Linked DNA regions of Oryctolagus cuniculus. The protein of the gene in region 1 interacts with the protein of each later gene in a pairwise test. Links are inferred from orthologs where the notes say so. Each region holds a gene or a part of one and is shown on either strand. Other genes may lie near its edges.

The links.
Region 2: the proteins of FOSL1 (region 1) and USF1 interact in binary tests that used the Homo sapiens proteins (3 or more experiments, as listed by UniProt). The link is inferred for Oryctolagus cuniculus from reciprocal best matches to the Homo sapiens genes FOSL1 and USF1.

Annotation. Positions count from the first base shown.
Region 1 is NC_091432.1:5,874,610-5,879,092, forward strand, and holds the start of FOSL1 (fos-related antigen 1), read left to right. Parts: upstream 1-1,620; coding exon 1,621-1,776; intron 1,777-3,742; coding exon 3,743-3,940; intron 3,941-4,483.
Region 2 is NC_091438.1:37,751,240-37,755,829, forward strand, and holds the start of USF1 (upstream stimulatory factor 1), read left to right. Parts: upstream 1-1,684; 5' UTR 1,685-1,830; intron 1,831-2,154; exon of another isoform or gene 2,155-2,179; intron 2,180-2,372; exon of another isoform or gene 2,373-2,565; intron 2,566-3,677; 5' UTR 3,678-3,762; coding exon 3,763-3,770; intron 3,771-4,149; coding exon 4,150-4,199; intron 4,200-4,354; coding exon 4,355-4,470; intron 4,471-4,590. Other genes in the region: ARHGAP30 (rho GTPase-activating protein 30), read left to right, coding at 1-12.

The DNA.
Region 1 (4,483 bases):
AAGCAGAGCTGCCCGCTGATGAGCGGGGGGCACAGCCGGAGAGCCCAGTCCTCCGGCTCCAGTTCCGTGGCACTGACAGCCCCGAGCGCGCTCGCTTGCTCACACTCTCTCTCTCTCGCTCGCTCGCTCTCCCTCTCGGCCTCAGTCTTCCCATCTCTACAATGGGAGCACGCCAGGAATGTGTGTCGGGATGCTCCTCCTGGCACTGACATTCTGCCTCTGCGAAGCCTTGGAAAATCCTGGCCGAGCTGGGCTAACGGCGATGGCCACTCAGTGACCTCCGTGGGCGGTTCTCGGTCCCGGCTTCCCCCTCGGAACACCGGGCGTGATGGCTGACCCTCTCTTCCAAGCACGCCCGACGCTAGCATGGCAGATCTTGCATAGCGCTCCACGCAAGGCTGGCTCCCCCGCCCAGCCCGCAGCGGGTGCTGCCCGCAAGACACCTGCGTCCCGCGAGAGACGCCCACTGCCTGCGGGGGCTCTGGATCCACACTTGTGGTCGCTCCTGCGGTCGCCCCAAATAATACATTTTGTCTGTGGACCGGTCACAGCGCTAGCTGCTTTGCGGGGGGGGGGGAGTTAAGATACCCCACCACTTCGGCGGGGCCTGTCATTTACCCCCTGGAGCCTAGGGACAGCAGCGGCAGAGGAGCATCACGTGGCCTCCAGCAAATCGTGAGAGCCAGAATTAGGTACCACGTGTGGTTTTTTTTTCTTTTTCTTTTTTTTTCTCATCCATTTGGCGGCTTCCAGCGGGTCCACGTTCTTCATCCCAGCCTCCCCGGCGTGGCAAGGTTGCTACGCGTCGGCTTCGTTCTATTTCGCCGAGGCCGGCCCAGGTCGAGCGGGTTCGCAGGCTCCCGGCAGGTGCGTAAGTCCGCGGGGGAATCCTCGGCCGCACCTGGGCGCGGCGAGGAAACCGCACCATGTATGGGCAGCTACGTCAGAGGGGCGGCCCCGGCGCGGCGGCTGCTCGGGGGACGCCTCGGCGGCCCCTTCCCCCCGGAACGGTGGGCGGTGTCGAGGCGCCCAGGGCGCCCAGGCACGGGGCGGCGCGTCCGGAGAGGTGGAGCCCCGCGGGGACCCGCGCCGCCGCGCACGCCCCGCCCCCCGCGGTCCCGGCGGCTCAGCCCCACAACTTTTCATTCATAAAACGAAGACTCCGCGAGGTGCGCGTGAGTCAGAACGCAAGCCTCCGACGCGGACCGCGCGGAGCAGCCGCCAGCCCAGGGCATGTACCGAGACTTCGGGGAACCCGGACCGAGCTCCGGGGCCGGCGGCGCGTACGGAGGCCCCCCGCAGCCCCCCGCCGCGGCGCAGGCGGCGGCCCCGCAGGTGAGAGGGAGGCACACCGGGGTCCCTGGGGACAGGGCGGGGGGACGGCGCCTGGGACCCCGGAGGCAGTCCCCGCGCGCCCCGCTGTGGAAGCGGCGAAGCCTGGGGCCGGGACCGCGGGTTCTGCCCATTCTCCGCAGTCCGGGGGCCAGCTGCCCCCAGAACCCAGAGGGACGCGCGCCCGCCCCCTCGTTCCCTGCCGCCGGCTCTTCCCTCCCGGGAACCTTCTTTCTTACCTGCGGTCCACTGCTCATTTGTGCGTCCCGCCCGCCTCGGAAGGGACGTATGACGTCCGGGCTATGTCCCAGCCCCGGGCGGTCAGCAGACGTCTCCCCCTTGGCATCCCGCGCCTGGGATACGTCGGGAACCCCTGGACGCAGCAGGAAGGCGGGATCTGTCGGTGACCTCCTGTGTGTCCGCCCCCGTCTACCGCGACGTCAGGTTCCAGCCCCCTCCTCTGCGCGGTGCAGCCGGGCTCCGGGGCGGTGGGACCCTCTGGGCTCCCGGTGGCCGGCTGTCCACCCCGTGGCGGAAGGACTCAGACAGAGACTGGGCCAGGTGCCGGGGCGGACGCCAGGGACAGCTCGCGCGCCCCTGCCCTCGGCACCGAACGGCGCCCACTGCAGGCTGGGGGCACTTGGGGAGCTGCAGGTGCCCATTTCCTGTCGAGGGGCGGCGAGCACGTGTCGCCAGGGGAGGGAAGGCGCGGCGTCCGTTCCGCCGAGTCACGGCGGCCGAGTCACGGCGGCTGAGTCACCCGCGGCGCCCCTCCCTTCCTGGCCCCGAGTGGCCCGGGCCCGGACAAACTCCGGAGCTGGGGACGCCGCCGGCAGTGCCGCGGGCCCGGAACTGGGGTCGCTGGGCCGCTGGGCTCGCACTGCGAGGACTTGCCTGGGCTTGCGGGGCGCTTCCCGGCCGACCAGGCGCCCACACCCAGGGCCCGTCCGGAGGGCTGGAACCCAGTTTTTCCAGAACAAGGCGCCCCCATCCCAGCCCAGTCCTCAGATTTCTGGTAGAAAGAGAAGGGTCCCAGTTAGCACTGGAAGCACTGACAGCCATGCCAGCCTTGTGCTGGGCGCTGGGCACTGGGCACCTCCGTTACCGTATTTCGTGGAATCTAAGACCCCGTGGAGTAAAAGATCCACAATTATTTGGTGTCACTAAGTTGTTTAAGTTGGTGTGTCTGATTTCAGAGCTTATTAGATGGTACTTCCTTTTTTTTTTTTTTTTTTTTTTTTGGACAGGCAGAGTGGACAGTGAGAAAGAGAGAGAGAGAAAGGTCTTCCTTTCGCCGTTGGTTCACCCTCCAATGGCTGCCGCGGCCAGCGCGCTGCGGCCGGCGCACCGCGCTGATCCAATGGCAGGAGCCAGGTACTTATCCTGGTCTCCCATGGGGTGCAGGGCCCAAGTACTTGGGCCATCCTCCACTGCACTCCCTGGCCACAGCAGAGAGCTGGCCTGGAAGAGGGGCAACCGGGACAGAATCCGGCGCCCCGACCAGGACTAGAACCCGGTGTGCCGGCGCCGCAAGGTGGAGGATTAGCCTAGTGAGCCGCGACGCCGGCTTGGTACTTCCTTTTTTTTTTTTTTTTTTTTTTTTTTTTTTTTTTTTTAAGAAAATTATTTACTTGAAAGAGAGTTATAGAGAGGCAGAGACAAAGAGGTCTTCCATCTGCTGGTTCACTCCCCAAATGGCCACAACACCCAGAGCTGAGCTGATCTGAAGCCAGGAGCTTCCTCTGGGTCTCCCACATGGGTGCAGGGGCCCAGGCACTTGGGCCATCTTCCACTGCTTTCCCAGGTGAGCAGCCGGAACCGGCACCGGCACCCGTATGGGATGCTGGCACTGCAGGCAGGGACTTTACCCACTATGTCCACAACCACAACGCCGGCTGCTAGACTTCTTAGCATCAATGAAATGCTGCGATCCTCCTCTGTGATAACAGCAAAATGGGAAACTGAGGCACACGGGGATGAAATAGCTCGCTGAGTCCCCTGTCAGTGGCTGAGCAGAGCTGAGCAGTGTCTCCCCCGTTCCCTCGCCCCATTCTCGCAGCCACCGCAGGCGCTCCGGGGCTGTCCTTGTCCCCCCAGGGGGATGGGTACAGGAGGGGCCGAGAGCCCAGCTTCTGCAAATGGAGCCCCTGCTGTGCCAAGCACATGGGTCAGTGTTTGTGGCCAGGAAGGTGTCTGGCAGTGAGCAGAGAGGTTGTGTGCCCTGCCCACAGTCACACAGCTCGTGAGCAGGGATTTGCCACCCATCAGTGTCTCTGGCTGCCAAGCCGGGCTCCTTCTGGTCTCCCAGAACCGGCATCTGCACGGAGGGTGGACGGCGGGAGAGTCTCTCTGCTCGGACCTCCTTGAGCCACGCAGACCTCACCCTGGCCCTCCGTTCCTTCTCCCCCAGAAGTTCCACCTCGTGCCCAGCATCAACGCTGTGAGTGGCAGCCAGGAGGTGCAGTGGATGGTGCAGCCTCACTTCCTGGGGCCCGGCAGTTACGCCAGGCCTCTGGCCTACCCCCAGTACAGCCCCCCACAGCCCAGGCCAGGAGTCATCCAGGCTCTGGGGCCGCCTCCAGGAGCACGTCGCCGGCCCAGCGAACAGGTGAGGGGCGCTGGTTCTGGGTGCCCAGGCATGCCAGTGTGCCAAAGGCATGCTCTGGCCACAGCGGAGAGCATGGGCTCAGACCGGCCGGGGAAGGAAGGGCCACTGCCGGGGAGGAGGTGATGGGCGCTGCTGGGGAGGCCCGCAGGGCAAAAAAGGTCACCTCTGCACCAGGGAAAGCTTCCTGGAGGAGGCGGCGCAGGGTTGCACGTGCTGAGATGAAGGGAGGGACAGTCCAGGCACAGGGGCTGGCAGGAGCCAAAGGGGAGGGGGGGAAGGCGAGAGGGTCTCCATGGGCTGCCGTGCACGGAGAGGGTGGGCTTAGGCAGTGCAGCTGCAGCAGCAGTGGGAGGGGTCCCTTCAGTTCCTCCCTGGATCTGTTTCCCGTCTCATTTAACTCGGACATGGACCCTCTGCCTCCTGCGTGTCTGCCTCTCCTCATCCCTTAGCCAAGAAGTGCAGGCACGGAGGTGTCCGGCACCTGCCCGAGATCACGCAGTAGTGAGAACCGGCCCGGGTCTGCCCAGCTGTGACCACCAGGCC
Region 2 (4,590 bases), on another chromosome or scaffold:
GAGAGACTGTGATTAGGACCAGAACATTGGGCCAAAGGGACCAGGAAATTGTCTGGAATCTTTGGGGTCCCTGGCTAGCTGTCTCTTCTGTAGCCTGAGCAGCTGTAGTGCCCCACTCTATGGAACTTTGGTCCTCCAGCTTCTGTTTCTGACTGTGGGAGGCACTTTCTCAGCTGGTATACCTGAGCTCGTCTCAGACTTAGAGCACTTACTTATCTCTCAGGAGATTTTCCAAAAAAGTCACCAAGATCCTGTTCCCAGGGAGTAGCGTCATTGGCCAAGGGGAACATAACGTTAGGCAGAAAATTTAAGAAGTTTCTCAAAGCGAAGAATGGAGGGGGAATTCCAGACAAGTTCCTGCTCTCCTCGGAGGCTTCTTTATAGAAGCCCAAGACAGAGGTGAGGACTGGGTCAGCTCAGAGCTTCTCCCTCCGCCCCCCCCTTTCTCACACACACACACACACACACACACACTAGTTGTCCATCCCTACATCCTTGGATACTTCCCGATCCTCTTAGCTCCATATTAGCAGTATGTCCAGGAAGTTCTTTGAAGTCCTCAGTGTTTGAAAGATGGCCTGGACCCCTCCCTTCCCCTCCATCTGCCTCTCCGTATATTACAGGGGAAAGGTCTTGTGCACATCTCTCTGGCCGTTCCTTTTTCCTTTGGAATAATGCCCTCCTGTTTCAGAAAATGGGGATGGCCTCACTCAGGTTCTTGGGACTGCTTCTCCAGACAGGTGGAGGGCACAGGTCTCACTCTAGAAGGGGTTGGTATTGCAGAATAAAAGTTGTATTTTTACACATAAACAGTGTGGAGTCTCATTATTCTGACTAAAACCTTGGGTGATAGGTATCACATTTTCATATATTTGGCCAAACTTTTTTTTCCCCTACTTTGTTCAGGGCTGTTTCTCAGTTGTCATGGAGACTAGGCTAAAAACTAGAGCTGGGGTCAGCGGTGGTCAGGAAATGGGGAAGAGAAACTTGTATTTACATAATGTTCATTATGTGCCAGGAACCGGGCTGGGTAGTCTTGTGTATTAATTCCACTTAGCAATTCTGTAAGGTAGGTACACATAGGTGGCTCCATCTTACGGATGAGGAAACTAAGGCTCAATTAAGTAAAAATGCTTGTAAGATCCCAGCGGTAATAAGTAGAAGAGATGGATTTGAGAACCAGGTTTAAATGGCCTGGTTTCTTAATTTTTCCCATTATACCATCCTACTCCAAACCTATTAGGAAGAATGGGAATCAATCCTCTCGCAAAATGTAAGCCTCGGGTGAGTGACTAGCGACGCTAACAGAAAGGAGGTATGCTCAGATCTATCTATTTATGCCCTGAGATGTCTCCATCTCCTGTAGGAAACCCTTAAAAAAATTGCCCTTATCCAAGATGGCCTCCCAAATAGCCCTTGTTAAAGATGGCGCCTCCGTCTGGCGGCCCTCCTTGATCCCCGCCTGCCGCCCCATTCCCTTTTCCCGGAATCAAAAAAGCTCTGCCAAGCACAGAGATGGCAGCACACGCTAGCCGCCCTTCTCCCGCTCCCGCCCTAAGTGGCCAGGCCTCGAGCGACATTCGCCAGCAGTACCCCTCCGAGCGTGTCCCCACGCTCCCATCCCTCCAGCCCTCAGCAAGATGGAGCGAGCGGAAGTGGAGCGGCTCAGGGGCTGTAAGTGGGCGGGGCGGGTCGAGAGAGACACTTCCGCCCCTCACCAACATGGCCCAGGGCCGGCAGTGCGCATGAGCAGCTGTCTATGGAGAGACTCGGGTCGGGAGAGGGAGAACACGGTCGGGGGGAAATCGGCGGCTGAGACGGCCTGGGCCGGTGAGTGCAGGGCCACACGGCAGTGTGGAGACTGGATGGGTCGGCAAGGCGGGGCCGCTTTGATTTAGTTTCCGTTTTTCAGGATGGGAAACTCTTGGGGGAGGAAGCCTTTGTTTTGGGGGAGGGGACCGTGCCTGGTTCTTTTATTTGCTATCCCGCTTTGTGGGCCAAACCCGCTCCCCGCCCTCCTGCGCTGTCCGGCCGCGGGGCTGCGGCTGCGGGCCCCCGAGCTCCCGGCGCCCCTTCCCTGCCTGCTCTGCGAAGCAGCCGCGGCGCGGGGCGAACGCGGCTGGGCTGGCCGGGTCACGGCGCGGGCTCCGGGGCGCGCGCCTGGCGGGCGCTCAGCTCGGTGAGCGCCTGCTGCTCGGTGGGCCTTCGGGGAGACGCCTTGTTCTCAGGCCTGGTTTCTTTCCAGGCTGCATCCCCCACCCCCACCCCGCTTTGTGTCCAGACTCGGCCAGGGGTCTCGCTGGGCCCTCGTTTGCCTGAGCGTGCACAGCGCAACATCCTATCCCGGTTCCCGTGTCTCCCATCTCCCGAAGGCTCAGGAAATGCTTCCGGATGTCCAGCGCGGGGTTGAAGAAGTAGCGCGACCCCGCTGCGGGGTGTCCTCGGAGACCGCCCTTGGCTGACAGCTGTGGGCGATAGAGGCGCCTCCTACTCCCTGCCTTCTCTTTCATTGCTTCCTCCTGCAGTCGGCGCGACGAGCCTCGGAGGGGCACTTTTCCCACTCAGGTTGGAGGATGGAGACCTGGGTGGTCCCAAAACACCAGGGCTACTTCTCCTGCGGGGCTGGGATCTCCTTGCAACATTACTTCCTTCGGACAGTTTCGCTTTCAGTTCCTTTTTGTTGTTGTTGTTGTTGCCATTTTCCTTGGCCACGGGCTCTCCAGGGCTTCTCCGCTGAGGATATTTCCTGGGATAGAAAAGGCCAGGAGAAACTCACGGATGCAGAATTTACAGAAATCTTGCCCCTTTCGTGTTGGGATTATTTTACTGCTTTGTACCGGCTGTTTCTTTTCGGCATCTGCCCGCTTAGCCCTTTGTTTTTTTCTGTCGTCTGGCTGCATGTCAGGGTCCTAAGGCAGGCACCTCCTAGATGGGTTCCTCCTCCATTGTCTCTTCTTCGGAAGCCTAAGCCTGGGCTTTTTTTTTTTTTTTTCTTTCCCTCCTTAGTGAGGCTCAGTTGATTTGGAGTTGTCATGGCAACGTTTTAGCAACTGTGTTGTTCTACAGGAAGGCTTAATGAATAATAATAAAGAAGGCTTGAAGCTAGTGCACTTGGATGTTAGGTTCTCTAAGGGATGATACCAATCTGGGCACCCCCTGCGCCCAGATAAGAGCCCTTTCAGTAGAGTGGAGCCCAAGGGCCAGGTCTTTGTGGTTAGCATCCGTTTTCCAGTGGTGGTGGGTTCCTGTGTCCCCTCCCTGGATTGAGGCAGCTGGAAGCTGAGAACCTGGAAGAAGCATGACTGTCCATGGCCTTGTGTTTTGGTAATGCTGGTCTCAACATGGCCCTCCCTAATTTCCTTGAAGCTGCTGTTGTGGGAGATCATGATAGCTTTAATAATAATCCTTTGAGAAATGTGTTGTTTCTCAGCCTTCCGGTATAATGACCCCTTCTCCACCAAGAGTCAGGGTGATAATGAAGGGGTGAGGAGCTCGATTTGTAGGGTTGCGTTTTCCAACAGACCGGCCCTCAGCATTGGAATGGGGGAAGCTGGTTGTCCTTTGCAGGTGCAGGTGACTGGGTTCTTTTCCTGGCTGTGTGTTCACGGAGCCTTGATCCCAAGTCTAGGGAGGCTGTTCAGTCCAACACTCACTGCAAACTCCGTGATTTCTACCAGGACTTAGTATTCAGGCCTGTGAATCAGGAGATACGAAGACTCCAAAAAAAGGACCAGTTCCTCGGATGTGCCCCCTCACAGAGAGATGAAGGGGTGAGTAAAGCAGAGGTAGGGTCTGGGGTGAGAGATGGTTGGCCTGGGAGAGCGTCAGACGCTGAGAGCACTGGCTGTGCGGGCAGACAGACCTGGAGTCAGGTCCAGTTCCGTCCCCTACCAGCTGTGTGATCTGGTTTCCCATTTGTAGAATGGAGGTAGTGCCACCTGCCTTATAGTGCTGTTAGTGTTCACTAAGACAGGACATGTTAAATGCTTAGCTTGAAGCCTACATGCATAGTAAGTACTAGTTGTTATTCTCACGTAACCCAGCATCTGTTATGGATGCCAGTGGATTTGGGAGTTCTTTGCCACTGGGCCAGTAGCTTCTCACTCCCTTCTTCCCTTATTCTTTCTTTTGCTCTTTCACCACAAACAGGCAGCAGAAAACAGCTGAAACGGAAGAGGGGACAGTGCAGATTCAGGAAGGTGAGTGTTAAAAATGGAACTGAGAGCCATGATGGCACCTGTCCCTCCACTGGGCCACCTCCCGAGCGCCCTTCCTCCTTCCACGTGTCGTGCAAGTGGAACAGAAGGAGAAAGGCAGTTAACTCAGGGACCTTTCCTTTGCTCTCCTACTTCAGGTGCAGTAGCTACTGGGGAGGACCCAACCAGTGTGGCTATCGCCAGCATCCAGTCAGCTGCCACCTTCCCTGACCCCAACGTCAAGTACGTCTTCCGAACTGAGAATGGGGGCCAGGTAAGGGGAGGAGCCAGGTGGCTGCAGGTGTTACTTGGGATTGGGGTTGAGGGAGGTTTGGAACATGTGTTGGGAAGATGTGGCTTGGAGGATGAGGGGGAAATACGGACTCTTATGGTG